Schizosaccharomyces pombe: one gene and its partners. Changing the gene in region 2 together with the main gene of any one other region gives a genetic interaction. Each region holds a gene or a part of one and is shown on either strand. Other genes may lie near its edges.

Region 1 (8,501 bases), on a different chromosome or scaffold from region 2:
TTTCTTTAAGAATATATGATTAATAGATTAGAATATATTAAGAGAAAGTTAAATTTTTAGCTGAGAGATAGAAATCATTAGTCTGAAAAGAATTTGGATGTGATAGTACTGGCTGAAAACTTAAGCGATAGCTTAATTACGCTATGTAAATAGATAGAAAAGAACCATTGTATATAGATCAGGTTATCCCAGAAGCTCCAAATTATGAAGATATTCTTCATAAGTACACCCGATTTCCAAGGACTTATAGCGAGTAGCAGTTATTTGTAAAGAACGTATTGATCCATAGTAGCCTGCTTTATGTATCAAGCTTTCTAGGGTTTCCTCTTGATCCCAACGTTGTTCAGCCGCTACAGAAGGTAGATAAGTCGAAGAATAACGAATTCCATTTGCCGTAAATTTAATAGACACGCCATGTATGCCAACTTCCCAATCTAATGGATCATCTATCGGTTCAAAGTCGACTAACAAGTCTATCTGGCACTCTAAAAGAGCCAATTCTCCCAAGGAGATAGGACGAAAACGTTCATCACAAAATGCACTATTTTTAAAATGTTGTATTAGCATTCGGTTACTCTTCTTTTCAATTTCATCGGCAATTTCATACGAAGGTCTATGATTTATCATTGACGCCTACAACGAACTATGAACCATTTTTAGACACACTTACGCTTGTTTACTGAAATATGTTAAATTTGTAACTAAAGGACGTGCCCGGAAAGTTCCAATGCAACCTCGTAGTTGTTTATCATGGCCTTTTCCAGATGCAAACTTTACGAACAGAGGGATACTACGGGTCCAACTCTTTGCATTCCACTTGTCTCGGACCTTTCGATGCTCTAAAGTTGCAGCAACTACTTCAAAGCAATAATAACAATACTCTTTCTTGTCCATTTATATTAGTGGTAGTAGCAATTGCCTACGGACGCTTTCGGTACAATTTGTAAGCCATGGTATTTTATTCATACATCATTCCAACTTTCTTTGTTTAAGGATGGCCAACAAATCATACGTTGTAAGTGATTACGATAACGTCCAAGTTCATTATACTGTTTCATGTTTCATGTTAAAAAAAGTTAGTTAGTAGGGCCCTGTTTATGTCTTCTGTCATAAAGTGAAAGAAAATGGAGAACTTGTTTAACTGTACACTAAAGCATTCTTTACAAAATAAATACTCTTCTAAGTTTTCACTACCTAGTTAAACAATTCATGCAACAGCAGCAAAACTTATTGAATTCAAAAGTAGTCATATATAAATTAACATTAAATCAAAAACAAGATTTGTAACCATAACTTCTTTTTCAGACTAAATAACAGTAACATGTTCCCATTCACAAAACTAGATGTATACGCGTATATAATATATATATATATGTATAGAGAGGGAGACAGATAAAGAGAGAAAAGTCCAAGCGTTTAAGCACCGAAGCCTTGTTTCTTGCATCGGAAAATCATTTCAAAAGGGGTGTCGCAAAAATTTTTATGTAGTTACCACAATATCCTAGTTATTGTACAAATCATTATCTACATTAACAGCATAAGTTCCGTACAAGCAGAATAAAAAAGTAAGCTTGCTGAAGCCTTGTATGTCTCAAGCCGACTTGCTTAAGAAAAAAAGAGCCACGGCAGAAATCTTATTCATCAGAGCGAACTTGCTCGGGAGGAGGGGTAGGGGGATGGGAGTACCTTTCCACATCAGAAAACAAAGTCAACGTATTGTCTTCAACTTTTTCAGCAGCAATTCGACATGCAGGCCTATCACTGACAACCCGCATCCAACGCTTAATATTTTTGTAAGGTTTCTGAGATAGGTAATCTCTTTGAGCAGCAAATATAGGAAAGCACATCTGCGGGTCCGCAGCGGTGAACTGTTCGCCTGCAAAGTATTCGTTCGATGCGAGGTGATTATCAATGTAGTCAAGGTTCAAAAATGTTTCTTTACTTAGATACTTGGATTTTATCCCATTCACAAACTGGCGAACAATATAACGAAAGAAAATGGGAGTCATGTTCACACTAAGATCCAAAACATGACTTGCCCAAATAAATGGCATAAGAGATGCTTCAGAAAAGTGCATCCATAATTCATATTTTTCCAATTCGGCAACATCCTCTTCTGAGGGTTTAAATGACGGTCCATACTTTCTGACCAGGTGCTCCAAAATGGCTGCACTTTCAATGTAAGTGACACCGTCATCGACAACGATAGGACTCTTGCCTAATGGTGACAACTTAGTATACGCTGGGGGAGCACGTCCGTCGACACGGTCATAAACTTTGATTTCATAAGGCACTTTGAGTTCTTCGAGCATCCATACAATTCGAGTAGAGCGAGAGTTCTTTAAGTGGTGTAAAACAATCATATCTGGTTACAAAAATAAAAACAAAATCAAATTGAATACTCAAAATAAATACTTTCTAAGATGCAATAATTTCGATCAAAGAAGGGAAGTATGTGGGAATTGGAATGTATATATGGGTGCTGCTGCGTCTACACCTCATATGCACGTCAGTCACCGAAATATATAGTGGCGTATGCAACAAATACGCAAAACACTTTATGTTTGCTTAAGAAAAAGATACAGTAGATATAGGAATGAAATAACATCTTCATTTGAATTGCTATCACTAGTCCGTCATGAGCCCGCTGTAAAGGTGCAGTACTAGATTTATATGAAAGACCAATTTTACTGTTGTAGTCAGTACATTTATACTAAAAGAGCAGCAGTTGGATTTACTTGGCATTCTGACTGACATATGAAAAGAAGTTCAGTGGTTGAATATCACAATACAGAAGCCATATTTTACATAAATTGGAGTTACGGTTTTTTCATAGTTAACAACGTATACTGCCTTGTAAAACGTGGTGTTAACAAAAAAGTTATAGTACTAAATTTGTATACCGAATATTCCAAAATAGTTCATAGACAAGCTATCTCAAACAGTTCAAACTGTTTCCAAAGACCAAGCAAGATATAATGATTAGTTTTTGATTCCAATAATATATGTTACTCGTTATAACACATAAAAGATATCTTGATTTTTCCTCAGCACTGCTGCAAAGGACGATTCTTATCTAAAACAGGACTTGAATTGACTTAAATCTAAAGCTGGGTTGTTTGCTGTTAATTTTGATGCTCAAAAATCCAAAATCTTTTTGTAAAAATGATATTGTTTTGCTTTAAAAACCATCAATTTTCACTCAAAAATCACTGATTAGCTAGCTAATGCCAACTCCCTTTCATGAGTACTCCATACTTATCGCACCAAGACTTTATAAGATCTAGCGAAACATTTAAATTTTTCCGCTTCAGCCAAAGTTGAAATTCTTCCACATCAATAGCAGAATACGTAAGAATTTTAATCCACACACTATTGTCTTTGGCTTGCTTAACAACTTGCGAAATTGCTCTATGAGTCTGTGTCACTATATCATCAAACTCCAATACTGTTTTAGTAGAAGTTATCAAATAATCATGGGGAGTTTCTTTGCCTAATTTTTTAGACTGAGATCGGCTATCGATTGCATCCAAACAAGATTCTACTATCTTAATGAGAGTTGCTTTCGAATCTGATGATTTGAAGCCATAACTTTCCGCTATAGCACGTAATTTTTCAACCGGAAAATTCTCCAACTTTTCTTTTAATGATTTAGCTTCATTATCAGCGTTTTTGTTAGTGTCCATGTAACCGGCATAGTTTAACAGGGTTCTGCTACGGTCATTAAATTCACATGAAGTAAACTCTTTAATATTGTCCGTTTTTTTTTTCTTATGTGTAGCACTATCGCCTTCAAGAAACGAGTTTGACTGACAAGTTGAGTCTATTGAATGACCGGCGCTTGGATGCCTTTGCTGAATTTCATCAACGGTGGAAACAGAAAAACAAACGTTTTCAGTAGAATTAGCCGATTCACAAAGTTCTTTTATAAGAGGACTCCTGTTGGCTTCAATTGATTTATTTCCTAACTTCTCTAAAGATTTTTCGAACAATTGAGGCTTCCTATGGTAATAAAAACCACTAGAAGATATTTCTTCCCTATTTGAGTGATATGCAGAGTGCTCGAAAGTATTTCTGCATGAAGCACTATTTTTAATTTTGCTGTATCTAGATAAAAGGACATCATTATCTTCAGCTACCCGAGTGTTAAGATCGGGTTCTAAGATATCTGATTCATTGTCGCTAAAGGAAGAAAAAAGAAGAGGGAGATTTTCAGTATCAAAATCTTCTTCATCCACAGCGTTTAAGTTGTGCTCATGAACCTTATGTCCCGTACAATTGTGATGCACAAGCTGTTGAGTAGACTCAAAATCACATTTAGAAGTTATCAGCCTAATTTCACAACATTCAGTAACAGATCTTTTTCGTTTACTATTACAATCTTTAGGGTTTTTGTTTAGCTCTGGCTCTATTGTTATCATGTCATCATCCTAAAGCTCAGTTAATATACATTTACTTCAGTTCAATGTAATATTTCTAATCATTTGCTATAGAATATCATATTTTTTTCATACGTCCGTGAATATATCAGGAGAAGATGATACCTCAATGTATTCTTCAGCCGACATCCATTTAATGAAACTTAGCTTGAAAGCAGCGTACTCAGAATCCTAAAACACCAAGAAAACGAAAGAATATCCCAAAAAATGATGAATATTTAATTTCGATTGTTTTGTTTTGTGTACTAGCCTGAATTTGTCGAAAGTTTTTCGTCCAGTTTCTTATTTTGGTTTAGACAAGTGGCAGCAAAACCAGAATATGCTTGATATTTTAACTCATCGTCTGATAAAAATAACTAAATGGTTTCACAAAAATGCGCAATACGAAAATGAAACAATATTTAGATAAAATCTTATTGATTGAAATGCAATGCTTCGTAAACAATACATAAATTAGAAAATTACAAAAGAGAGAAAAAAGTTAGGTAAAAAGTGTATGCAAAAGATTTATGATTTGAATCCCAATTTTTTTCCGAAAAGAGTTTTCATCTTTTTGGATTCTTTGATAGAGCTAGATGACGACTTGGCGTTTGATTGTTCACTTTTTGCTTTCTTCTTAAACAAATGTAAAATATCATTAGCAGCAGATTTAGACTTCTTTTTTGCTTCAGTAGCAATGTTGTGAGTTATAGTAACAGTTGACCTTGCAGGACTCAACGAAGGCTGCGTAATTCTTTTGGCAAGTTTGGTTGTAGTTGAAACTGGCTCAGAACGAGGAGGAGGAGGAGCTTCCTTTGGAGCCTCACCATCTTTTTCTAAGCAAAACTGAATCCAATTATCAAGGCCCGAATCGTATGCTGAATATTCTTGAATCTTTTGATTGAAAAAGTTGTAACGTTGATCGGTAGAACCTAATTCACCCAATCCATCGAACGACATCAATGGACTCTTGACAAACGCATCTAAGGTAGCAAAGTAATTTAAATTAGTTTCACTATTATCAGCCTTTTTGGAAATTCCAGAAGAAACAGCATCCGCTGAAGCACCGGAGTTAATGCTAGGAGAAGTGGTCGACTGCTGAGTTGAATTATTTTCAGCACTTTTAGAATGAGAAGATAAACCTGTCGTGCTTGTCTTTAGAGATAGTGTGTCTCGTTGATCCTCTTCCTGAACGACTATTTGCTTGTTGGGTTTTGGAGGTTCTGGCAAGGATCCACGGCTTAAGGCAGCAACTTCTAACTCATCTCTATTTAATGGTTCAGAGTGAGACTTATGTGTACTGGAATTACTGGATATTGAAACTGCATCGTGAGCAGCTACCACTTCGACCTTTGTAGTTGTCGTTTCTTCAATTGCGGGAGCCTTTGAGTTACTTGACTCAGTGTGAGAAGTAGTCGCTTCAACAATAGTTGGAAGACTAGTTTTATATGGATATACGTCTTGTTCTACAGAGGCTATTGTATGTTCATCGTCAGATGACCCCTTAGTCCAAAAAGGGTCTTCGGTATTCAACTTGGTAAGAGCTGGATCGGGCTCCTCCGAAAGATAACCATAGATACTTTCCAAGCTTTCTGAGTTTTTCAATAGTGCTCCTTCCTCTAGGGAGTTGTTAGAAACCAAAGAAGAGCGTGGAGATCCAACAACAGAAGCAGCTTGAGGTTCAATCCCTTGCTCGACAGAATTGGGTGATGTATCTCCTTTCACATCAACTTTTTCAAGGTTCGATTTTGAAATATGTTTCTCAGCATTGTCCTGAAGTAGATTGGAATTACTTTGAGTTTTTCCAACAAGGGTATATTTTGACGAATCGACAGGCAAATCGACAGCGCTGTCAGAAAAGCTATCAGGTATTGAATCGATAGAGCTGATAGCATCAAAATTTCGCAAAATACGACTATGAGTACCCGGTTGTTGGGAGAAAGAAGGATCGTTCGTAACTGTCTCAACCTCCGAATTGGTAGCATTATTTTGTTTAAGTGAACGAATTGTGGCTACCTCATCATCCACATCTGAATCTTGTAATCGTAGTTTAAGATTTTCTTCATCCAACTCACCTGAGGGCTGCTTACTAGGAGAATAAAGAAATGGTGAATTTACAGAAGTTATAGATGGATGATGCTCCGGTTTTGAGAGGTTTTCATCCTTCTCCTTTTCAGCATCGATTCCAAAATCGTTAGATAGTGAGTCCGAAAGTTCTTCCTCTGGGTTTTGCTGCGGAGACTCAACAAATGGAATAGACAAGCTATCAGTTGACTTAGTAGTTTGTAATTGCTTGACATGAGTGTCAATATCTGTTCGAGAAAGCTTTTCATCAGGACTAGGTATTTGTTCAAACTTCTCATTTGAATGATTCGAGTGTGAGCTTGTTATAGAATACGCATAACCCTTATTAATAATTTCGTCAGTTGGTTTCAAAATTGTATTAGTAGTCATGTTCGTATCTCCCTCCTCGACTTCTTGAACAACCTCAGATTGCTCAATTGCTTGTTCCGTAACAGGCTTTGAACTAGTTTCCAAAGTAGCTTTTTCACTCGTATTATCCAATTCATTGGCATCATCGTTAGCGGTAGAAACAATATCTTCTTTCACATTATTAGCAATTTCTACCGCCTCGGCAGAGTCCGGCAAAGTTTGCTCCATTAATTCGCTATCTAGTACTGCATGATCGTCATTAGGAGATTTCTTATCGTTCAACGAGGAAGATAGGTTACTAAGCGTGTCCCCAAAGAAGCTGGTATGCCTATGATTAGGTTCATATACGACGCTACGAGTTTTTGAACTTCTGGAAGAGGTAGCCCTGGAAAAATTGGAGCCACTACCAGTCTCTGCAACTGAAGCAAATGAGAATCGGTTCTTATTTGGAGCACGAGCAAATACGTTTGATTCATTGAGCTCTCTGACACTTGAAAAACTATCTCTACCCTTGATAGGAGGTAAAGACTCGGGTATTTCTTCAGCCTTTTTATACCTAGAGAAACTTAAAGGACGGATAGCAAGATCCTCTGCTGGACTTGAAACAGATCTCCTCTTTACATTTAACTCTCTTCGATTTTCCATTTGTCGAATATCCGAGACCCTATTATCATCTTGACTTTGAGGTTGAATGGCTGAAACTTGTGATGATTGAGATGAACGGGTGCTAGAAGATGCCATGGAAGATTTGTAATCAATCGGCTTAGAATTTGGATCTTTTCCTAATTTCTGTAAAAGAAATCTCCTCTTTTCGGCCCATAACCGTGCACTTTCATCAGCGGAGACAACCTTAGTAGCAAGCGTCTCATGGCTACTAGATGCTGCTTTTCGGTAAACAAAAGTGCCAGGGTATGAAAAGTCATAATTCTCGTTCTCACTTTGCTCGCTAAAGCTACTTGCCTCGTTTTCAATATCATCCTCTTCCTCCTCTTCTTCTATAATGCGATCGGTTCCGTCAGAATTTAATTCCCTTTCGGGATTCTTTCCGATATTCTCACTACTGGTGAGATTACTTTCCTTATCCTCACTCTCAGATTCTTCACTACTCCATTCATTACCTTCATAACTTGGAACATTGGAAATCCATCTTCCTGATACGTGTCGTTGCAAGCCTGTGGCATTACTTTGCTTTTGAGCCGTATTTTCTTCCATTGACCTATTAAGTTTTCAAATATATAGTCATGGACTAAAATTCGCTTTTTGTTTACTTATAAAACCGTTATTGATGTACTATTGTTCATGCGTAAAGTTGGAGGTGAAGGGATAGTAGTAGATTGCTGACTACCACATAGTCACTGCATAACATTGACTTCGCCAGCCCCATACGTTAACAAGCACAAGCTTGTAGGTTATTTATTGTTTTAAGCACAAAAATTGTAAGCAAACACCTTTTCAGAATGTAGCAGATATTCATTGTTTTTGATGTGGCTTACGCGTAATCCTAGAAGCGTTTGTTGAAGAAATCAAAGTACTTTTAATATCTAATCAGCTAATAGGAATGATGAACAAATACATCAATCTTCAAATTTAACATATTAGTATTTACAAAAGTGGAAATTTATGATTGCTAACTTCAACAGGCCAATTAAT
Region 2 (8,320 bases):
GGTGTTTCCAGTCTTGACATTTTGGATAACATCGTTCCATTTATTGGCGGTGAAGAAGAAAAAATTGAATGGGAGACACGTAAAATCTTGGGCTCTGTCAATAGCACAATTTCTGGATATGAGTTGACTGATAACGTTGTTTCTGCTCAGTGCAATCGTGTTCCTGTTATTGATGGCCATTTGATGTGTATTTCTGTGAAGTTTGCCAAGACCTCTCCTACTCCTGATCAAGTTCGCGAAGTATTGGCAAACTATGTTTCTGAACCTCAAAAGTTAGGCTGCTACAGTGCCCCTAAACAAGCCATTTATGTTTTCGATGATTCTACTCCTGACCGCCCTCAACCTAGACTCGATCGTAACAATGAAAATGGTTATGCAGTATCAGTTGGTCGTATCAGATCTGATTCCATCTTTGATATTAAATTTGTCTCCCTCGTCCATAACACAGTTTTGGGTGCTGCTGGTGCTGGTATTTTGAATGCTGAAGTTGCGGTGAAGAAGGGACTTATGTAAACAACGAATTTCCTGTTCTTGTTATAACTCTTCTCTCTCAAAATTTGCCACGGATTTTTCGATACCTTAAAAGTTGGAATTAGGTTTTGAATAAAGAAAAACTTTGTTAATATATTTCATTTTTGCTGTTATTTTACCTTGCCAGTGATATAATTAGAGGACTGCCTCTATTAATCAAGTTTCTTGTGCTTGCGAACCAAAACGGAAGCCTTCAAAAGATTTGTATTCCTTGTAATTGAATAATACTATCGATAATTCTAATATTTGAAGTAAGTCATTTTCTACTTTTTCCCATTTTAAATGAATAACGAATTTTAACACCAATTTGTAAAAATTTAGCGTAGATTAAAAAATTTTTTGAATATTTAACGCAAATTCAAATTCTACCATGTCTAGCTTAAGGAAATGTATAACAACTTGTAATTTAGGCATCTGGCCGTTTTTGACACTGGAAAAATTCAGTTCAATACCTATACTTTTATAAAACATTATGTCGAAGGCAAAGAGCCCTATAAAGTCTTCGAAAAGTAAGTGATAGGAATAATATCACTATTGTATGGTTTTTAACTCAATTGATTTTAGAATCGGTGAATCAACCGAAATCGGTTCTTCGTGAGAAGAAAGTCAAAGATGCTGAAAAAGCCGAGCATATATCATTACAAGGTCATGTAGATAACTCTGATGAAGAAGGACAAGATAAAGAGTTTTTTCCTGGTTTCGGTTCTTCAGATGATGATGAAGAAGACTCTCCAAATGCGCTAGTTAATACCTCAAGGCAAATTATGGATTTGGGCGAAGATGCTGAGAAAACCATAAAGAAAAAGGTTTCTGAAAATAAGAATCTTCAAAAGAAAAAAGGTGTTTTGTATGTTGGCCGACTTCCTCATGGATTTTATGAGAAACAGATGCGTATGTATTTTTCTCAATTTGGTCCTGTGCTACGTCTTCGCATGTCTCGCAATAGAAAGGTATGGTAACATTTATTATCTACAGCGGACTATTTTAGTTCTTCTTTTTATTTTCGACTGCTAACTTTTTGCATTAGACAGGAAGTAGTAAGCATTATGCTTTCATCGAGTTTGAATCGTTAGACGTTGCCAATGTCGTTGCTGAGACAATGCATAATTATCTTTTATATGGAAAGCTTTTACAATGTAAGGTTATTCCTGAAGACCAGGTTCATGAAAACATGTTTAAAGGCGCCGACGTTCCTTTTAAACGCATCCCTCATGCCACAATAGCGCGTCTTCAGCATGAAAAACCATTAAGCAAGGAGAAAGCGGATAAGTTAATTACTCGCCATAATCGGAAGCTTAAACTCAAAAAGCGCAAGCTCAAAGAATTGGGGATTACTTTGGAATCGGATGTATCTCATCCCAAGGCGGCTAGTCCAGTTGCTTCGAAAAAATCTAGCAAAAAGAAGAACAAAAAGGTTTTGGCTGCTCACAAATAAATAAATACGGGGTTTTAGAGTAATAACAATAATATTTGGAATATCTTATTATTATGCATAATAGAATTGTGAATAACGTATACTAAGATTAATATTTTTACAATATTCCTTTTGTTGTCTTTTTCTAGTAAAGTATTTTTTAATTTAAAATAACTATGCTTCTCATTTTGTTTGCATTCTTTTCATGGCAGCTGCAGCCCTTTTTTCACGTTCAATTCGCATTCTCATTTCTGGACTTAATGATTGCAATTCGTCAACTTTTCGAACATTATTAATTCCTAATGAATGACCTTCGCCGTGCAGTTTATCATAATCCCTTTTCGATTGTTCTTCAATTTTCTGCATCGCTTCCTTCCGTCTAAGTTCTTCTTGCCTCTCTTTATCCCTTCTTTGATTTTCTAATTTGGTCTTTGCCTTTTGGCGTTGTTTCTGAATTTGTTCTCTAGACTGAGGAGCCCCAACTTTAGCTGCTTCCCAGTCGAAAAATGACTCTCCCAACTCATGCCTTGCAATTAGAAACTCATCTTTAACCTCTTTGTTTCCAGTACTAATCTCAAAAGGTGTCTTTCCGTTCCCATTTAGCATTGCTGGATCAGCACCATTACGGAGAAGTTTAGCGACTAATTTAGCATTTTTTTGGGTAACTGCGTAATGCAACGGTGTAGATGTGTGCAAATGAACATTTTTAGGATAAAATTGAAAATTTATAGACAAATCATTAGAGCGCAAATATTCCAAAAATGCTTCAATATTAGACGCTTTCAAATTGGAGATAATTACTTCGGTATATTTAGCAAGCTTTTTCTTTTTCCTCTCTTCCTCTTGTAATCTGCTTTGTCTAATTTCCTTTTCAATTTCGGCTTGTCTCTTTCGTTCTTCTTCTTGAGCTTTTATCGAAATTGAATCAACGTGACTAATTTTCGGAGTAACCAACTCTTTGTAACAACGAAGTAATTCTGAATGTGTGGCTCGTTTAGTAGTAAATGGAAATACGCGGAGTTTTGGATCTTTTGGAGAAATAAGAGCACCTGGTTGAGAGAAGAAAATTGAACGATTAGATGAACCGATTGCACGTACAAAGATTAAATCGCATGTTTCTAATAATTTTCCCCAGTCTTTAAAAACTTGCTGAATATCTTTAATAAGAGCTTGTTCGTTATAACGTCGCAAACCACTACCTGCCGAGTGAATGTTCCCTTTAGTATTGTCAGCAGCCCCTTGAGAACCACCTTGCTTCCTTCTAGTTGTATATCTGTGAATAGTTTTCTGTGCTAGTACTTTGGGTACATGGGGATCACGAGGATTAAACTCATTAGAAGCAATCATAGCAGCAAAATGACCGCCTCCAACCATAAACATAGCTAGTTGAAGTGGCTTTTGTCGGTTATGATTTTGTTGTTGAACAAGTAAATCTTTAGTGATATGGTTATTACCGGAAAACATGTGTTTATATACACCAATATAGGTTGGCACTTCGGCAGAAGCATTACTCAATTGAAACCACGTTAATGGTGAGTTTGTTCGCTGATTGTTGTTTTCGTCAGCGGAGTCAACTTTTCCTATGTTCAAGGATTGTTTAAAAGCCTTCTCTATTTGGAAATTATCTTCTTCGGATTCTGAGTTTGTCTCGCTTTCACTGCCAGACAGTGATTCTGGTAAATCTTCAATTATGCTTTCAAATTCGTCTTGAGAAACCGGAGGCAATTTTGTAATTTTTCGCTTCGTATTGAACCTATGCCAGTCAGATTTAATATGACTTTTTCTTTCGTCCAGAGTATGCAGATTGTCAATCTGGCAATTGACACATGATGATATATTTTTCTGAGTGGAATCAACAATATCGCCTTGGTTTGACAAATTAGCACTATCAGTTTTTTCCTCAACTGAGTATTCCTCTCGTAGTTCTAGTTTTGCTAAGATATCCTCAGGAAGGGAAAAAATATTGTGCTTCGAAATATCACCCATGTTTCGAAGAAGACAAGTAATTAGCAAGATCTAAAAATAATGTAAGCATTACAAAATATGCAATAATTTTCAGTAGAATTTCAATCTAGCAATTAGCGTACTTATACTCAAAAACGAACTTTAATAAGGATTAAGTAATTTGACCACAAGATGCAGGTAGTTTGCTTTTAATTTACAATTTTTTCTTGAAATTAAAAGAAGAAAAAGGTTATTTTCATGTAAATTAAGACTTTAAAGCCTTTTGGCCACAAAAATGAATTAAAAAAAAATAAGGCTGTAGACAATATAGGTAAGAGGATTAATTAGGTAAGAGCAAACAGTCAATCAAAAATCAAATTTATGTAATTTTTTTACTTAGTGGTATATACTTGCGTTTATTATTTAACTAATATAGTCCAAAATTTAATATTTGAGAAAAAGCTGTCGTTAACAGTGAAAAATCTATGAATTTTAAATTGAATGTAAATATAAAATCGAAAATAACATTTGTATAATGTTGGTGATTGTAATAATATTTATTTAAATTAATAGTGCAAAAATTATGCTACTGCTTTAGCTAATTCAAAACTATATTAGATGCAGTCGCAATTTGTATATATTCCTTTTCGTATTAAAAAATAAATACCAAAAATTAATTCGTCACTTGAAATTTGACTGAGCATGATTGTTTAATATTATTTTTGTAAAAAAAAAAAAAAAAAAAAAAAAAAAAATTTTATTATCTTGAGAATAATATGCCTTCAAGCAAACCACCAAATTTAAGACATCAAATTGAGGAAAGAATTTTACGTATGTATATATAATAAATTTTTTAAGAAAAAGGAATTTTAATCTTTGCAGTGAATACTAATAATTATTTAGATGATATAATCCACATATTTTGCAGGTATTGTTTCGCATATGCTCACGCTACTAATTTATGAATCAATGGGAGATAGCGGGAAATATGAAGTGCGAATTAGTTTAAAAAAAGAGAAGATTTAATTCAGTGTTCAAGGCGTTGATGAATGCAACAAACCAGTATAATTTCCTAAAATCAGTAGCAATATCGGACGTATCAGAGATAGACCATGTGAATTTGAGGCGACAAACCACCCGTTTAATTTCAACGTAAAAATCCCTATAACTTCAAACATCGTTTGCAATGTTCTGTTTAATCATTGTAAACTTTACTGTGGATTACTTTATCAAGTGACATTGACATTGTAATCTCGCATAAATTTTTTAACATTTACCTAGCCGACGAATTTAAGGAACATGTCCTTTTCCATAAAAAAAGTTTAAAAGAACCCGAAATAGGAATATTTTGATTCAGCATCAACGGTTTTTACTCAGGGAAGTTCAATATTTAGGATTCCCTTATTATACTTACTTTACTTGAGGGATTCGTTGTCAAATAATAATTCTTTCTCGACCGTTTCTATTTGGGAAATATTAACAAAAGCACTAACACATTTCAAACATATAGCTCTCGATTTAAAAAAAAAACTACTTCAATTAATTTATATTTATATTCATCCAGTAAAAAACTTGATACTTGGTACAATGCTGAAATGATTCCATTACAACTAAACTGGATGAATCCCTTTTAGATTGAGAACGGAGAGACCTGTCTGTATATTCCAGCGTCCTTTAATTAAGTAGATAATTAAGTGCAAGCAATTTTTTCAATCTGCTGTAAAGCACTATTTACATTAATTTTAAAAATTGACAAATGGAAAGTATCGAAGCATTTGCAAGCATGCAAATGCGATCGATTTAAACTAATATAAGTCAAGTTTATGAAGAATAATTTATACATAATAGCGAAATTAATGATTAAAAGAGATAATGAATAACTTTCTCAATTGAAACGCTTAGTTTTGTGAAATTCAGAAAAACAGAAATTTAATTCTACCAACTTAGTTTTTTTTCTTGGAGGTGCTTTAGTATTATACCTTTGAGTCATTTCCGTTGAATTCATTTAATTTGCAAAAGATAGGAAGAATCACTAATGTAGACAAATCAATTCCATTAGTAATGAATTCGATTCGATGCAACCACCATAAATGCCATTCTTCATTCATCAATATTTTTTAACTAATTTCTATAAAAGTCCAGAATAAGGAATCCATATTTTTCTTGTTATACTCTTACCGTAAATTTCGTTACTACCACCTCCCTTTGAATACCGGATAAATCATTGCGTTCGCGCCTAGATCTGTTGCGCAATTTAGGGGATCTAATTTGCAATCGGGTCTAGTACTGTATTCTTGATTTCTTCAACTTAACAAAAACTTACCTTCATTAAAAGAAGAATATTTTAGTTGGTTCATTGTACGTTATTTTAATGAAGCAATAAAAGATTTAATCACTTAATTCAACACTCACTTTACATTTGACTAACATATACAAGTAAAAACCAATTACAAAGGATTTAGGGAAGTTTTCAAGATTTCTCGTCTAAAAGATTTTTTTTCAATACTTGAGTAGTTTTTTCTTGAAGAAACTCTTTATTATTCGTGCGTTGAAAAACTTTTTAGGTATTTAGCTTTACTAGTGTCTTACCTATCTATCCGATTTTTTAACTCATTTTCCGTGTAAACTCATTCCTTTTGCTGCTTCCTTAATCCGCATTTGAGGAGGTTAAACATTGTAATTCTTACTTTTGAATTACTACTTATTTAATTTATCATATATAAACTTTTTTTGGTGTTAGAATTTTGAAAATGTCTTTTACTACTTTATATTCAGCTATTCAAGGTGATGCTAGTGCGAGAGCCTTGGTAGCCCCTTCTTTAAATGCAGAACTATCATTCAGTGAGCTTCGAATTGCTATTATGGATCTTCAGCGCCAAATTGCCAGCCTTGGCATAAAAGTTGGAGACCCTGTAAACATTGCTATTCCCAATGGCTTGGAATTCGTCGTAGCTTTTTACGCTGTTTCTTGGCAAAGAGCTATTTGTGGGCCCCTGAACTCCAACTACAAGCAATCCGAGTTTGAGTTTTACATTGATGATCTGAAAAGTAAACTCGTCATTGTTCCCGAAGGCTCCGTTGCCGCAAATACCCCTGCTGTTCGTGCTGCTAAGAAATTGTCTGTCGCAGTGGCCGAACTTGCTTGGTGTCCCAAGTCTCGATTAGTTCGCATTGTTCACTTTGAAGGAGCCAAAATTAATGCTCCTCAACCACTTGGTCTTCCTCAACCCGACGACGTTATGCTTGTCCTACATACTAGTGGTACCACTGGACGCCCTAAAGTCGTTCCTTTGACTCACAAAAACTTGTGCCGTAGCATCCATAACATTACTACCTCTTATAGATTGGATCCAAGAGATACTTCTTACGTTGTCATGCCTTTGTTTCACGTTCACGGTCTTCTTTGTGGCCTCCTTTCTACTTTAGCTTCTGGTGGATGTGCCGTTGTACCTCCCAAATTCTCTGCTCACAGCTTCTGGAAGGAGTTTATTCAGTATGGTGCTACTTGGTATACTGCGGTCCCCACTATTCATCAAATCCTTCTCCGTACTCCTCCTCCCAAACCTCTTCCTCGAATTCGTTTCATTCGTTCTTGCTCTTCTCCCTTGGCACCACCAGTCTTAAGCAAACTAGAGGCTACCTTCCGTGCTCCTGTCCTTGAGGCATATGCTATGACCGAAGCTTCTCATCAAATGACTACCAATCCCTTACCTCCTTTGGTACACAAACCTCATTCAGTTGGTAAGCCTTTTGGAGTTGAACTCAAAATTTTGGACCAGAAAGGTAACGAAATGCCCCAAGGAAAAGAGGGAGAAATTTGTGTTCGCGGAATCAACGTTACCAAGGGTTATTTGAACAATCCTGCTGCGAATAAGTCATCCTTTACCAAAGATCGTTTTTTCCGTACTGGTGACGAGGGCAAACTTGATAAAGACGGTTACGTTTTTATTACTGGTCGCATCAAGGAGCTTGTTAATCGTGGTGGTGAAAAGATTTCTCCAGCTGAGATTGACGCTGTTTTAATGCAACATCCTGATGTTTCCGAAGCTGTTTGTTTTGCTGTTCCTGACGAAAAATACGGACAAGACATCCAAGCAGCTATTAACCCTGTTGCTGGAAAAACAGTAACCCCCAAGCAGTTACATGACTATTTAGAACAGAAGGTTGCTGCTTTTAAAATCCCTAAAAAGTTTTACTTTACTGATCGTATCCCTAAAACTGCTACTGGAAAAGTGCAACGTCGTTTGGTCTGCGACGCCTTTTTCAATCACTCCAAGGCCAAACTCTAAGAGTATCTGGTACTCAATATTTTGCTTCTTTACCCCAAAACTCGCTAATTTGTCTATTTTAGTTACGAGTTTATAAAGCACACGATGAAATTTTGTTATTAACTGTATCGAATTCAATACTTAGAATAAACTATTTTAGATC
Region 3 (7,503 bases), on a different chromosome or scaffold from region 2:
GCTGTAATTTGTTTTAGTTGTTGCTTTAAATGATAAAGAATAATGAAATCCTTAATTTTGAACCATGGCAATAAACAAAGGAATGGAAATTATTTTCAATCTCTAATTTCGAAATTAACATCCCTATAACCCATCGTTTTAGTTTTACCATTTGCTAACCTTACCCAACCTTCGAGACGTATTTTAATCGGCTTCAAAGGCTACAAATTTTTACTTATTTATATTAAAATGGAAATAGAGTACGAAAATGAATATGTTCATCAAGTATATGATAAGATTGCAACACATTTCTCAGATACTCGATACAAGGTAAGTTAATACAACGATATTTAATTAAAGCTAATCAGTCATTTTGTAGCCATGGCCAGTGGTTGAAAAATTTTTAAAATCTTTGCCTTTGGGCTCTGTAGGAGTAGACATTGGGTGCGGAAATGGCAAATACCAAAAGGTTAACCCAAATGTTTACATGATAGGAAGCGATCGTTGCGTAAAACTTGTTAAAATAGCAAGCAATCTAGGTCCTATGGTTATTTCTGATGGCCTGCACGTACCTCATCCAAGCAATCGGTTTGATTTTGCCTTAAGCATAGCTGTAATCCATCATTTCAGCAATGAAAACCGAAGGTTGCAAGCTGTTCAGGAAGTTTTAAGACCATTAGTAAAAGGAGGGAAAGCACTATTTTTTGTTTGGGCTTTAGAACAAAAGAATTCAAGGCGTGGTTTTTCAGAAGACGGACCGCAGGACGTTTATGTTCCTTGGATATTAAAAAGGCAATATGAGTATCCAAATGCAAAGCCGGAGGAATTAAAGGGGCACGATCCTGCTGAAAATATTGCGTATCAACGTTACTACCATTTATTTCGCAAGGGTGAATTAAATGAGTTAGTAGAGACCGCAGGCGGCTCAATATTGGAACATGGCTACGACCGTGATAACTGGTGGGTAATTGCTGAAAAAAACTAAGTTTTGGAATGAAAATTGATCGTCATATCACCTTGATAGAACAGATTTTTCATCTTTCTTGAACTTGTTCTCAAAAAGTTGGAATATTTCTATTTTACCTTAATTACATAGTTTAAACTATTTTCGTTCGGAAAATGATTTTACAGATTTTTTTTTTTAATCTAACTGGTAGAAGAATTTCTGTGTTTTATGTCTCGATTATTAATTTACTGCGTTTAATTATAAAATGAAGCGATGAACTAGTCATTCCCAAGGGCGAAAAGCGGTCAAATGTACTTGTTTTCAAAAAAAAAATTGACGGTTTCTTAGTATGACAATAGTGATAATTTGATATCGATTGAAGTGGTTTTCTGTTAAATGATACTATACATCTGTGAATGGGTTGGAAATTAAAATGTTAATCTAATTTTTGTTAATAGTTTATTCACGTAGGTTAGTGAAATGACGGTTCAAAGGTTGCATAAGTATTGGAAATCGATGAAGTATGTCAAGCAAAAACATTTTGTAAAATGAATAAATTTCAAAAAAAAAATATTTTTTTTTAGAATAATTTGGAATAATCATGCATTTCTGTATATGTTAAACTTTTAATATAAATCTGTGCTTGAGTATGAAATGAATTATCTAAAAAACAGTGTTTGAATAAACGTGTCCCAATAATAATGATAAATTGTAAAAAATATGTAGGAATTATACAAAATTTATTAAGCCACAAATAGGAATAGTAATTAACGTACAAAATTTGATTTGAATTTAATAATTTAAATGCGACTAAGTTACTTGCTTTTCTATTTACCAAAACGAATTCCAAAGAGAAAAAAATAAGCAATTAATAGTTTGGCAAAACACTTACTGCATGAATTAAATTAATAATCCGACATGCATTAATAAATTCTTGGTTGCTAAATTCAAATAAAGAAGTAATCAGCAGTTCTTTGCTCCTTAGTCGAATGATTACTTTTTTTCTATTCCATTCACCTTCTATTTCGTATTTGTTATATTCATAAAGTCTAGGAAAAATATAAAAAGATTTCCAAGATCCTAATTATCTATTTAAAATTATTATGTTGATATATCGTCGCGTAATATAATTAAATCTTTTTTTATCGAAACCTCAACAAGCTTTGGTGGTTTAGTGGTATAATGAATCGTTGCCATCGATTCGACCCGGGTTCGATTCCCGGCCAAAGCATTATTTTTTACCAAAACAATTTTTGGATTTATTTTGATTTGTTTGAATTCAAGCACGTGGTACTCTGGATACCTAAAATATGTACAACTATAGATTCCAGTAATATATATATTGCAAATGACTGAACTCAATTCTTCAGGCGCTATACTGTGAATGCAATGTTTCTACGATTTTTTGCCATGAAAAATAACGATGCTTATTTACCACGATTCAAAGTAACTAAGCGTTTGGTTATATTCGCTTGGAATACCAATCTACATTACAATGAGGAGGCAATAATTGCTATGATATAAAGCTATTGTCAGAACCAAAAAGTCCTGAGTTTATGGGAAAGAGTGAGCTTACTAGTTATGTAAGATATTACACTCTCTATCACAAAAAAAAGCAAGTATGCGGTAACAATTCTTCGATTCCATGACTCTTTTTAATTGGCAAGTTGTTGTGCTTCTTCCGTCGGTCTAAAACAACTAAATTCTTATTTATTGACATCTTTAAGACCAAAATAGTCGCTTGTCAAATTCGTTACTTCCAAGTGCCACCATGTGCTTGTTACTTAAGAAAAATTTAGACAGTCACACGCTCCTATTTATTAAGGAAGTGTAGTCAGGTTAGCGAGAAAAAGTACATTTTTTCTGTTTTTTTTTATTTTTCTTAATTTTCTTTAATAATTTTTTTTAATTGTAAAGGAGTTGTTAAGATGGAGTCTGAATCTGTTCCCACCGTTCCTCAAACCACTCGTCCCGGTCCTCGATGCTATAACTGTGGTGAAAACGGTCATCAAGCTCGTGAGTGCACCAAGGGTTCAATCTGCTACAATTGCAATCAGACCGGTCACAAGGCTAGCGAATGCACTGAGCCTCAACAGGAAAAAACTTGCTATGCTTGTGGTACCGCCGGACATCTCGTTCGTGATTGCCCCAGCAGCCCTAACCCCCGTCAAGGTGCGGAATGTTACAAGTGTGGTCGTGTTGGTCACATTGCTAGAGACTGTCGTACAAATGGTCAACAAAGTGGCGGACGATTTGGTGGTCATCGCTCCAACATGAATTGCTATGCTTGTGGCTCTTATGGCCATCAAGCCCGTGATTGCACTATGGGCGTGAAATGCTACTCTTGTGGTAAGATTGGACACCGCAGCTTTGAATGTCAACAAGCTTCAGATGGTCAACTTTGTTACAAGTGTAATCAACCAGGCCACATCGCCGTCAATTGCACCTCTCCTGTAATTGAGGCATAAGTGCTTGCTATTTATAACCCTTTGTCGTGGTATGAAGATATTTTTTCTTTTTCTTGTCCGATTTATTCAAATTTGGCAAGTGGTCATATTCTTACAAATCCCTTGAGCGATCTGCGCATTTAGTTATATAGAAAGCATAATTTTACATCCTTCTCTTCGTCCTTATTTTTTCGCACACTTCTGAATTCATTTTTGCTTCGGATCCTTAAGGATATTTGTACTGAAGCCTGAGATGCACCACCTCATTTCTCTCCTGTTTTCTCGTCACCGCTAAAAGATGGATGTTGATAGATTAAATCCTTTTTGTTTCAGTTTATTTTTACTGTTGTAGTGGCATTTTTTTCCTATTATTTTCAATTCACGAGCTTGAAATAAAAAAATTTGGAATATGGGAATTCTATAAATGATAGAAATTCCTTGGTCCATTTGGATGATTTGTTTTTTTTAGTGCCATTATTTAATGGAACTTTTGGTTTTATATGACAACTCACTATCAATTTCATTTACGAAATGGGTTTTGGCGTTTTCGTATTTTTTGAGTAACTTAATTTACCTTATGTGTTTGTACAGTAAATGTTAATGCTCTGACTTATTAACAACTTCTCTACTTCTTAATCTCTCATGGTATCTGTATAACAATATTTACAAAAGGGTTCTGGGTCATTTGCCTAATTAATATTATTTTTTCCTTGCATTGCTTACTCTGCTTTTCAAAAATGAACTGTAATTGAAAACGGGTGAACGATAAATGTAACAGTTGTCATAGACAAAAAAAAATTTATTAACTTCAATTTTACTTTCATACAAATTTGACATCGAATTTGTCTATTACATAAAATCGTAGTATATTAATCCAAAATTTTATTGTTCACATAACTCAGCCAACTGCGCTCGAAACAAACGAAATAAACTTCTTGCAAATTCACCTTGAGAATGGTAAATACTCTTGAACGCTTTCTCTTCATCCCTAGCCAATTGAACATGCTCCGATAACCAAGAGGGGAATTTTTGACCAGGCCTGCTTATATATCCCACCCCTAAACGATCTTTCATAACATCAAATTTGTATCTACTTACAGGTTCATAAAAGTCAATGATTGCTTCTAAGCATTGATCACATATATTGGTAGCAACAGAAGGCCGGTAAAATGAGGTAATGCAATCTTTAAACTTAGTTAACTTCGGTATTCTATTGCAAAGCACACAACGGCCTACAAGATTGCATGCTAGCTCTATATATGTAGACTCATCGCATGACTGTGTTCCATCTCCTGTTTGGATGATCGAGGAGGCTAACGAAGAAGTATCAGAATGAATTGTCTTTGCTGCATAACTTTGATAACTTGGATCAAGAAAAATTGGAATGATTGTAGGGATATCGGTAAATTTGGCCACAGCACTTGTGTTTATAGACTCAGAGCAAGTTACAGCCGAATTTGGATTTTTTTTATGCACCTTAAGTAATCGTTTCCAAAATGAAACATTTCGAGGGCTGAGAATCTTTTTAAAACGTAAACATGTATTGGGGAGGTCATGGATAAGGGTATGTCGTTGTTTTCTATATGAAAATGCAAAGGGTAACTTCTCTATGTATGAAGCATCATAGCAATATGAAAAAATCAGCTGTAAAATTTCATCCGGACAATCCAAAATTTTTGCATACTTAGGACTCTCAGATGAGTATCTATAATATAAATTTGACTTAGGTGAAGCAACAGTTAAATTTAATGAAGAGTCAAGATTATCGCTACTTGGTATTTTTCTGAAAGGCAGGACTTGGGTAGTATACTCGGCATAATCATTAATCAATTCTAGAAGATTTCTACTTAGTGAGCATTTATCAAGTAGACCTTCATAATCAATCATTGCTGAAGCATGCGAATCTCCATCAACAACCAACGTATTCCAGACACCATTCCAATTGTCTTCTTCATCAAAATTAGAACAGATCGAAACCAATCGCTTCATGGCTCTTACTCTTGCTAAACAATGCACAAATTCATCAAATGTTTGAGGCTTGAAATATGAGCTTCTTATTTTTTTGCGAGTATCGATTAGTATTCTTAAAAACGATTCATCTTGATCCAAGTGCTCATTCACGCTGGTATTCATATAGCATGTATGCGTTTTGCAATTTTGAAATGAAAATTGAAGCATTTAGTTTGATTAAGTAGTAGTACCCATATACAGTTCGTTGATGGTGATGTTGGCTGACTGCAAGCTCAATTTGCCGGTTATCAACATTGCATAATTATACATCACATGGTTACTTACTCATACCGGCCTGAGAATTAGGTGAATAAAAACCTATATAGAAAACAGAAGTTTTATAATAAAAACTAGTGGTATACTTCGCATATTATACTAATGTGGATCGAATTTAATTCTTTGTGTGAAAGACGTAACATTGGTGTTATCAGATCAGATAAGACAAATTGATCAAACCCCCCGGCGGGGGGGGGGAAACTTGGTGCTTTGAATTTCATTATTGAGATTTTTGCTTTGCAAATTTAAAGAATTGTGAATGAAAGAGTTTTATTTATTATTAACGACGTGTAGCTGAATTGCATAACTTTAAGCTTGATTTAAAAATTTGCTATTTAAAGTTGATATAGTTCGAGTAAAAAAAATAAACTAACAAAGGTACCTCAAAATTTTACATACTTTACTATTGCTAGTAAAAATGACAAGCATAAACACCTACGGTTTATAAAGTCAACAATATATATATATAAGATAAGGATAAGTAATTAAACTTCTACATCGCTGAGACGTACGCAGTTGAAACGTTTTAACATAATCAGATCATTGAAAGTAAATATTTTACTCTTTATTTTGCTCATATATGAAAAAGGCGATTTTAAAATCGGATGCAAATTTTTTTTAAATCGAGTAGATATTTCAGCATCATTGAATAAAATTCTGAAACATCCATTCATACTTTTCAACATTTAATTATAAAAAAGTTTGGTTCGTAATCACTGAAACGTAGAAGCAGGATAAATTTAAATTATCCTTGAAGCTTTTTTAAAGAAATAAGAAAAATATCCTATTTGGGATAATTAGACGGCTCAAACACTAAGGATTAAAGTTTATTACAATTAGCATTTGTAGTATACAGAATGCTATATGTTAAGGAAAAAGAACGAAATTAAATGAATTTGGAGGTCATGAGGCACGCAACATTCGATCAGGTTAAATAAACAATAAGGAATAAGAAGAACTCCCTATAAAAATAAATATTTCGGTTTCCTTTATTTACGTTGTTACAGTGAAAAATGAAGAATTTGCAACAAAAAAAAACTTTAACTTAGTACTTTTTAAAACGTGATATTCTCATCGTCATCAACCTCTAAACTTTGTAGCCTAGCATGTACGAAATCTGGTGCAGAGGGAACGCGTTGAGTTTCTGAGTCTTTTAGGTCAGTCATTTGAGCCTCTTCAGCGACGTTGTTAGTATCATGGTCCGTAAGGGCGGTAGTTAAATCTGCGGGTTGATCAGGTGGTAACTCAAAACCATCCTCAGTAGAATAAAGTATTGCTTGAATACGCTCCAACATATTTTCCATTGACATAGGAGAAGTGGTCAAATGAGTTTGTACAAGTATTTCAATTTCTCGAAGCTTGTTAAAATAGAAATCACGTTCTCTCTCCAAACCAAACATCGTCTCATTAACTTCGTACAACTGTGTTTCAAGACTAGTGATTTGTTGTTGTGCTTGCTTTGCCCTTAACACTGCCGCAGTATTTGCAGTCGAAGACACGTTATTGTTGTTTGCTGATGACTTAGTCATTGAAGGTGTAGAACTACCAGAAGAAACCTGACGGCGACGAGAAGGGCCAGTTGCTCCTGCAGAGGAATTCATAACACGAGTGTTAGCAGGTCCTCTATTCCCCCGGCGTGCCAGCGCATCATAATCGCCCCCAGGATAATATTGATCCCAAAAACGTTTGGCCCATTGAACGAACTCCAGATTATCTTGCATTTTACAACGCGATAGTCTCTCAGGGTCTACAACTTTATCGATACCCTTCTTCAAGAATACCTGTTGAAGAACTTTCCAATTGTTTATATATTGATACTCATTATTGCATTCAAAATTCACCTTT
Region 4 (7,063 bases), on a different chromosome or scaffold from region 2:
ATTTTCTATTTTTTTTTTTTTTTTTTTTTACTTTATTTTTATTATATTTCTGTTTTTTTTTTCTTTAAATCTATTTATTTACTTTTTTTTTGCGCGCAACTGAAATTAGCTTGTAAAATAAATTTGCAAAGATCCATGCGATTTATCAGCAATCTTTTCGTTTCTATCCATCGTTTGACTATATGAATGCATTAACAATATCTCAGCGACCCTATCGCTCTTCTCTATTTTGTTGCGCTACTCTTTGTTTTCATTCTACAGTTTTTGTTAACCTCGTTCTTATTGCTAACCTCACTCATATTGACTGTGTTAAGACATGCCCTTGATGGAACTTGTCGTGCCCTGGTATTGTTACTTCAATGTTAGTCTAGTCAACAGCTGGCAACACATAGCTTCATTGAATCCTGATAAGAAGCCCCTCCTCATCTAAAAAAAAAAAAATTAAAATTAAAACACGCTGAATAGTCAGCGTCTAGCTTTCCTATCCACTATTATCATCGTCGCATACGTCCACACTTGGTTGGGGTATCTAGAATACCAACGAAGAACTGCCTACCTAGAGATAAAGCAACCCAACCTAATTACCTACTTAGTAGCAAAAGTAAATTTAGACTATCACACATTTGAGATAAACTGATTATTTACAATGACACCTTGTTAATTTTAATTACACAACATGCAATCGTAGTAATAGCAATGTATATCTTCAAGGCAACTCGTTATGAAGCTTCATTTCTTTAAACTGATATCCTCGTTCTCTATATCTCTCTCTCTTTCTGTGTGTGTGTGTGTGTGTATCAACTCTCCCTTTGCTTTGCTCATACATGCAAGCGAACACATGAGCACCCATCATACCCAGCCTGCTCTCTCTCTCGCTCTTTACGCGCTCCGAAAATCTCCGTAATTGCAGCAACGATGACTTGCGGTGTCCAGCTTTTCCGGGTTAATTCATGATAAAAAAATGGAAAAAAGGCGATCCCTGGCACTATCTTTAGGCGCCTTTTCCGCCAATCATTCTAGATAAATTATCTTCCATATCATTCATTCGCTCCATGATTGGCCCATACTTCCAATCATCTGTGATATCTTGCATTCTGGACAAGAACCCCCCAATCAAATGCTGCCCATCTATTGCAACCCTTACCCCAAACTCTTTATCTACGCCGGTTTCCTCGTTAACGGAGTGTTGGAGGACGAGGTGCAATTAACCGGTCGTGGTATATAAAGTGAAGGCGCGAGTCACCTTACTCTTCTCCAAATAACATTTTCGAAGCCAAAAAAAAATTTCCACCCTTTTTTGTTTCGTTTCGTTTCGTTTGTTCGGCTTTCTTTCTTCTAGATTTGTAAAGAAAGATTTGATTGTGTAAAACGAAAAAAACGCTGTTATATATTTGCTTTTACTAGTAACATATATAATTCACGCTCCTACACATATTTTATTTTATACATATAAATTTTTTTTGGGGGGTTTTCTTCTTCTCTACACGGTAATTTAGATTAAACTCGGTATAATTGTTGCCTTGGTTTAAAGTTACTTTTTTTTTATTCTTCATTAATATACTTCGTTCGATATCCTTATCTCGGTTTTTCGATCGTTGACAAATTTTGTTAATCCTGGTTTACAGTAATCGATCTATTGTTTTGTAACGGGGTTTTCTTCTGTTGCTAGTTTTCAAATTTCCGTTCTCTAGACTTTCGTTTTTTTTTATCTTTTGTTTTTCTACCTTTTTTTTCCCTTTTACTTTCAATATGTCTCAATACGACGTTGAACCTCTTCTCTCCAAGGCTGCTATTTTAAACAAGTATGCCGATCTTCCTCAAAATGGTAAGGTTATGGCTGAGTACATCTGGATCGATGGTTTCAACCATCTTCGTAGCAAGACCATGACTCTCGATGCCAAGCCTTCCTCTATTGACCAATTGCGCGTTTGGAACTTTGACGGCTCTTCCACCGGTCAGGCCCCCGGCAACAATTCTGACACTCTTTTGAAGCCTGTTGCCATGTACAATGATCCCTTCCGTCGCGGTGACAACATTCTCGTTCTCGCTGCTTGCTACACCGCTGATGGCTCTCCCAACGGCTTCAACCATCGTGACGCTTGCGCCAAGTTGTTGGAGAAGCACGCTGACAAAGAAACTTGGTTTGGTATTGAACAAGAATATACCATGTTGGACTACTATGACCGTCCCTTTGGCTGGCCTAAGGGTGGTTTCCCTGGTCCTCAAGGTCCTTTCTACTGCGGTGTTGGTACTGGCCGCGTCTTTGCTCGTGACATCGTTGAGGCCCATTACAAGGCTTGTCTTTACGCTGGTATCAACATTTCCGGTATCAATGCTGAGGTTATGCCTTCCCAATGGGAATACCAAGTCGGCCCTTGCGCTGGTATTGAAATGGGTGACCAACTCTGGATGTCTCGTTTCCTTCTTCACCGCATTGCCGAAGATTTTGGTGTCAAAATCTCCTTCCACCCCAAGCCAATTTTGGGTGACTGGAATGGTGCTGGTTGCCACACTAACGTTTCTACTAAGGACACTCGTGCTGAAGGTGGTATAAAAGCTATTGAGTCTTATCTCGAGAAGTTTGCCAAACGCCATAAGGAGCACATTGCTGTTTATGGTGACGACAACGACTTGCGTCTTACCGGTCGTCATGAAACTGGTTCAATCGATAAGTTCACTTATGGTGTTGCCGATCGTGGTGCATCCGTTCGTATCCCCCGTTCTGTCGCCATGAATGGTTGCGGCTACTTTGAGGATCGTCGTCCTGCTTCTTCCATCGATCCTTACCTCGTCACTGGTATCATCACTGAGACCATGTTTGAGCATTAGACAATTTTCCCTCATAATTTAACGTGCAGGTCACGTCGACCACCCAGTTATTAACCATTTTGAAATATGTGTTTAAGTTTTTATAATATCACGTTTTTGTTTGTAGGACTTAATGAGTTTGTTGTGTAGTAATTTTGTTTATCAGCTTCACTTTTTTGTGATGTTTATCTTTTTTTAGAATATTTCATATGATGCATTCGTTGCAGTCATTTTTTTAAAGTATCACCATTTATCAACTGAGCTTGTTGCTCACCTTCTTATAATGATCAAGAGTGTTTTCATTGCGTATGTGAGGCTTTGATACAACCTTGGATTGTTCTTTTCTTGATATTCTTATACTAATATTAATGTTTCTCTTGTTTTTTTTTACCCAAGCTGTCCCTAAGTACAAGTACTTTACGAATCAGTTTGTCAACAACCCTGTTAATTTTTTTAAGTATTTTACAGTATTCACACAAGATTACGAATTTTTGAAATAAAACGATAGCTTATTCTAGACATGCAAAAATATATCTTTTTTGGTTGGTTACTTGTAAATTATCAATTGTGAATAATTAATGCATCTTTATTGTAAAGCTGATTCCATCCATGAAATCCATTCTTCAATGTTCGACATTTTTGCAACGCTGCCAGGAAGGAATTTAAGATCAGTATCTTCAATCTGATCTGCAACTGATTCCCAATCGACATCTTCAGAGACTATAGATTCGAGTTGAAGATTTTTCTCTTCCAAAATATTGTGCAGTTCAGCTTTTAACAATTGTTGAATTTTTTCCGCAGGTTGAGCAGTAAAAAGATCAAATTTATTACAGGCAATTAATAGATGAGGGACATGATGCTTGCGACATTTTAAAATTGTGTCAAACAACATCAATCCAACCTCGTGCACATCCCTGTCAATTGTAGCACTGTTGAGAACGAAAACTACAGCTTTTACATTATAATTTCCAGAGAATTTAGTAGTAATCCAACGTTTGGCCCTGGGATGCCCTGGAAGATCTACTAACCAAGCACCATATTTCCACACAGCTTCATTAGGTTCAATGCTAGGAACTGTAGTTTTCTTTTCTTTATAAATTAGCTATATAACAGTTAATAAGTATTCAAAGATTGTATATTATTGTTATACCTCACAAAACAAAGACGTTTTTCCAGAATCGCTAGGTCCAATTAAAAACACTGCTGGTAACTTCTTTTGAATTGTCTTTCTAGTAAAAAAAATTCCTAGGGTAGATATAATAGCTCCTATAATTATTGTAGCTACAATAATTTTAAAAGCTTGAGAAGTTCCATCCATATGCTGTTGTTGGTACCAGTTGGGTGTGTAGAAGATATATGTCAAATGTTACAAAGACCTCATTTTCATACGATCGTTGATTAAGATATATTTTTCAGAAGAGAGAAATAAATGTGAAAAAAAAAAAAAAAAAAAAAAGCATCCAAACTAGTTCTCGAAGTTTTGTTTAAAAAAGACAATTCTCGTACAGATTGCAGCAGTAGAGATTGACTGTACCCTCTTTTGAATTTAATTAAAACAATACAAAATACATTTTTCCTGAATGTATTACATGAGATAATTGCTTGATTAGACCAATCTTTGTTAATCGTCAAAGTATACATTTATATCATCGGTTCTTTTGAGTGGAATTAATTGTTGTGGGGCATCTTTAAGTTGTGAATTTGTGTAATTAGACTTATTGAATATTTTTGCTTCATTGTTTGCTCAACATTATTTATTATAGAAAAGTTCTTTTTGTTAAGTGATGACAATGATATAAATAATGAACTTCACGATTTTTTATTTTAAAATAATAAAACTATAGAATATTTTACATTTTGAAAGATAAGATTGCGTTGTTGTAATACTACTTCAATCCAAGTTATACTGAAGTTGCTGTCTTTCAGTCGAAGAGCTACTTTTATATCTACCTTTTTTACATTGCAGACTTGCCATCCCCCAACCGTAGATTTTGCTGGTTATATTAATTCCTTTTTTAAAGAGTCGTCTAACTCTCGTTATTAAATTGTGATACGAAGATGCCTCTTCCAGTACTTCGAGTTAAGCGTAAAGCTTCAGAAGATCCTGTTAACGCCCTATGTACGACCAAGCTTCTAAGTAAACTTTCTTTATCTAACTCCTTAATAATTTAGATTTGGAACTTGGAAACAATCCAAATTCTGTTTCAAGTACGAAAAGAAGGAAATTCGCCGGACGATATTGTATGCTACTTCTTGAGCTTTTGTGTTGGAATATTACACAAGGACTAATCATTTGAAAAACACAATTACCTTTTATTGACAGTTTCTAGATTTTAAACTATCACAAACGCTGAAGCAAGATGATCGGTATATTCAGATAAATGATGAATCTTCGGAACCCACTCATGAAGACGTTCGAAATATCCACAGTCATACAAAAATATCATCTCTAAAAAAGAACAATTACGGAATCCCTGTCGTCCAAACTTCTGAAGACGTTGTGAAAGCACCTACGCACATGGACTTGGGATCCCGTGAAAATACAAAAGGTATTCTTTCTTTCTCATCCCCACGCTATACAATTCAGAATTTACCTTCTACTCAAAGTAATAGAGTGTTCGACGCTATCCGTGTCGAACAAGGGTATGTCAACATCAAATAGAGTCAATTACTTAGTTCTGTTGTTATAAGAACTGGCTCTTGGCTTTTTTTACCTTAACTAACATTCATAGACATACTACGTATCATCCGCATCCTCAGCTAGATTCTATGATTCAAGAATATTTGTCAAATGGAGACCTTCCTCTTCAGCAATCTACGGAAGACTACGTATACGATATTTATGAAGCATCTAGCAAAGAACCAAACAAGCCAACGTTTGCTTATGGTGTAATTGATGCTTTGTCCATCCCAGACGCTTTTCGTTCTTCATTAGAACAGGAACTAGTCTCCGAGACAGTGGACTCTGATAAAGATGATCCATTACATGATGAAATTGATGAGGATTCAAACGCTGAAAGCTTCTATCAAAATAGCTATCCCGATGAAGACGAATGGCAAGATAGCAGTGAAAATGATGAATTTGCTTACTCCGATGATGCTGAGCAAGACTTTTATGATTAGATGTTTGCTACTTAAAAAAACGAACAAAATGGAAATCGGTTACAGTTTAATAGGTGAATGATATTATTTGGAGAAATTTATATCAGGAATTTAGTAAATTGTTCTATTGTATTTTTTAAAAACTCATACATTATATTGTGTCTGGGTAATATGTGTAAATTTTAATAGCATTACTATTTAGTTATATCATAGGATTCAATATGAGCCATGTTATTCATGAGTTTGGAGTCCACAATTTTGTGACTTGCAAAATCCTAGCACCAAGTTCTTGAATTTGTAGCCAGATTTAGCTACATCATAGACAATATGTCGACTAAAGAAGCAACTTCAGAGACTGCTGTCGATTATTCTTTGAGTAATCCTGAAACCGTCAATAAATATAAAATTGCAGGCGAAGTTTCTCAAAATGTTATTAAAAAAGTGGTAGAATTATGCCAACCTGGAGCCAAAATATACGATATTTGCGTTCGTGGTGATGAACTATTGAACGAAGCTATCAAGAAAGTATATCGTACCAAGGATGCTTATAAAGGTATTGCTTTCCCTACCGCTGTATCTCCTAATGATATGGCTGCTCATTTATCTCCTTTAAAAAGTGATCCCGAAGCCAATCTCGCTTTGAAATCGGGTGATGTTGTAAAAATTCTTTTGGGTGCTCATATTGATGGATTTGCTTCCTTGGTCGCTACTACAACTGTAGTTTCTGAAGAACCAGTTACTGGTCCTGCCGCTGATGTTATTGCAGCTGCTTCTGCTGCTTTGAAGGCTGCTCAACGCACTATTAAACCTGGTAATACTAACTGGCAAGTCACTGACATTGTTGACAAAATTGCTACTAGCTATGGCTGCAAACCTGTTGCTGGTATGCTTAGCCATCAGCAAGAGCGTGAAGTTATTGATGGCAAAAAACAGGTTATTTTAAATCCTTCTGATTCTCAACGTAGTGAAATGGATACTTTTACGTTTGAGGAAGGAGAAGTTTATGGCGTTGACATTCTTGTTTCAACATCGCCTTCTGGGAAAGTGAAGCGTTCTGACATTGCTACTCGTATTTACAAAAAGACCGATACAACTTACATGTTGAAACTTCAAGCTAGCCGCAAAGTCTATTCTGAAATCCAAACTAAGTTTG

The links.
Region 1: mutations in vms1 (region 2) and slx4 together harm fitness less than expected from each alone (positive genetic interaction), as found in Schizosaccharomyces pombe (one large-scale study listed by BioGRID).
Region 3: mutations in vms1 (region 2) and pof14 together harm fitness less than expected from each alone (positive genetic interaction), as found in Schizosaccharomyces pombe (one large-scale study listed by BioGRID).
Region 4: mutations in vms1 (region 2) and iwr1 together harm fitness less than expected from each alone (positive genetic interaction), as found in Schizosaccharomyces pombe (one large-scale study listed by BioGRID).

Annotation. Positions count from the first base shown.
Region 1 is NC_003424.3:3,114,433-3,122,933, forward strand, and holds slx4 (structure-specific endonuclease subunit Slx4), read right to left. Parts: upstream 4,742-8,501; 5' UTR 4,569-4,741; coding exon 4,515-4,568; exon of another isoform or gene 4,431-4,514; coding exon 3,225-4,430; 3' UTR 2,448-3,224; downstream 1-2,447. Other genes in the region: SPOM_SPAC688.03C (AMMECR1 family protein), read right to left, coding at 184-541, 671-894; glutathione S-transferase Gst3, read right to left, coding at 1,635-2,363; protein Rng10, read right to left, coding at 4,947-8,063. UniProt on the Schizosaccharomyces pombe protein: Regulatory subunit of the slx1-slx4 structure-specific endonuclease that resolves DNA secondary structures generated during DNA repair and recombination.
Region 2 is NC_003421.2:2,378,343-2,386,662, reverse strand, and holds vms1 (protein Vms1), read right to left. Parts: upstream 4,211-8,320; 5' UTR 4,033-4,210; exon of another isoform or gene 3,962-4,032; 5' UTR 3,932-3,961; coding exon 2,129-3,931; 3' UTR 1,967-2,128; downstream 1-1,966. Other genes in the region: hom2 (aspartate semialdehyde dehydrogenase), read left to right, coding at 1-513; SPOM_SPCC1827.05C (RNA-binding protein NIFK), read left to right, coding at 1,004-1,040, 1,096-1,481, 1,559-1,966; pcs60 (acetyl-CoA ligase), read left to right, coding at 6,640-8,178.
Region 3 is NC_003424.3:2,243,833-2,251,335, reverse strand, and holds pof14 (F-box protein Pof14), read right to left. Parts: upstream 5,602-7,503; 5' UTR 5,551-5,601; coding exon 4,255-5,550; 3' UTR 4,208-4,254; downstream 1-4,207. Other genes in the region: tRNA (uridine) methyltransferase trm9, read left to right, coding at 229-309, 359-964; byr3 (translational activator, zf-CCHC type zinc finger protein), read left to right, coding at 2,854-3,393; microtubule plus-end binding protein, EB1 family Mal3, read right to left, coding at 6,714-7,503. UniProt on the Schizosaccharomyces pombe protein: Expression is induced during oxidative stress. Plays an essential, SCF-independent, role in the stress response to hydrogen peroxide for survival, by negatively regulating ergosterol synthesis via direct binding to the squalene synthase erg9.
Region 4 is NC_003424.3:1,592,258-1,599,320, reverse strand, and holds iwr1 (RNA polymerase II nuclear import protein Iwr1), read left to right. Parts: upstream 1-4,781; 5' UTR 4,782-4,866; coding exon 4,867-4,927; intron 4,928-4,980; coding exon 4,981-5,049; intron 5,050-5,138; coding exon 5,139-5,451; intron 5,452-5,540; coding exon 5,541-5,931; 3' UTR 5,932-6,019; downstream 6,020-7,063. Other genes in the region: glutamate-ammonia ligase Gln1, read left to right, coding at 1,750-2,829; signal recognition particle receptor beta subunit Srp102, read right to left, coding at 3,395-3,910, 3,959-4,126; peptidase family curved DNA-binding protein Cdb4, read left to right, coding at 6,238-7,063. UniProt on the Schizosaccharomyces pombe protein: Directs RNA polymerase II nuclear import.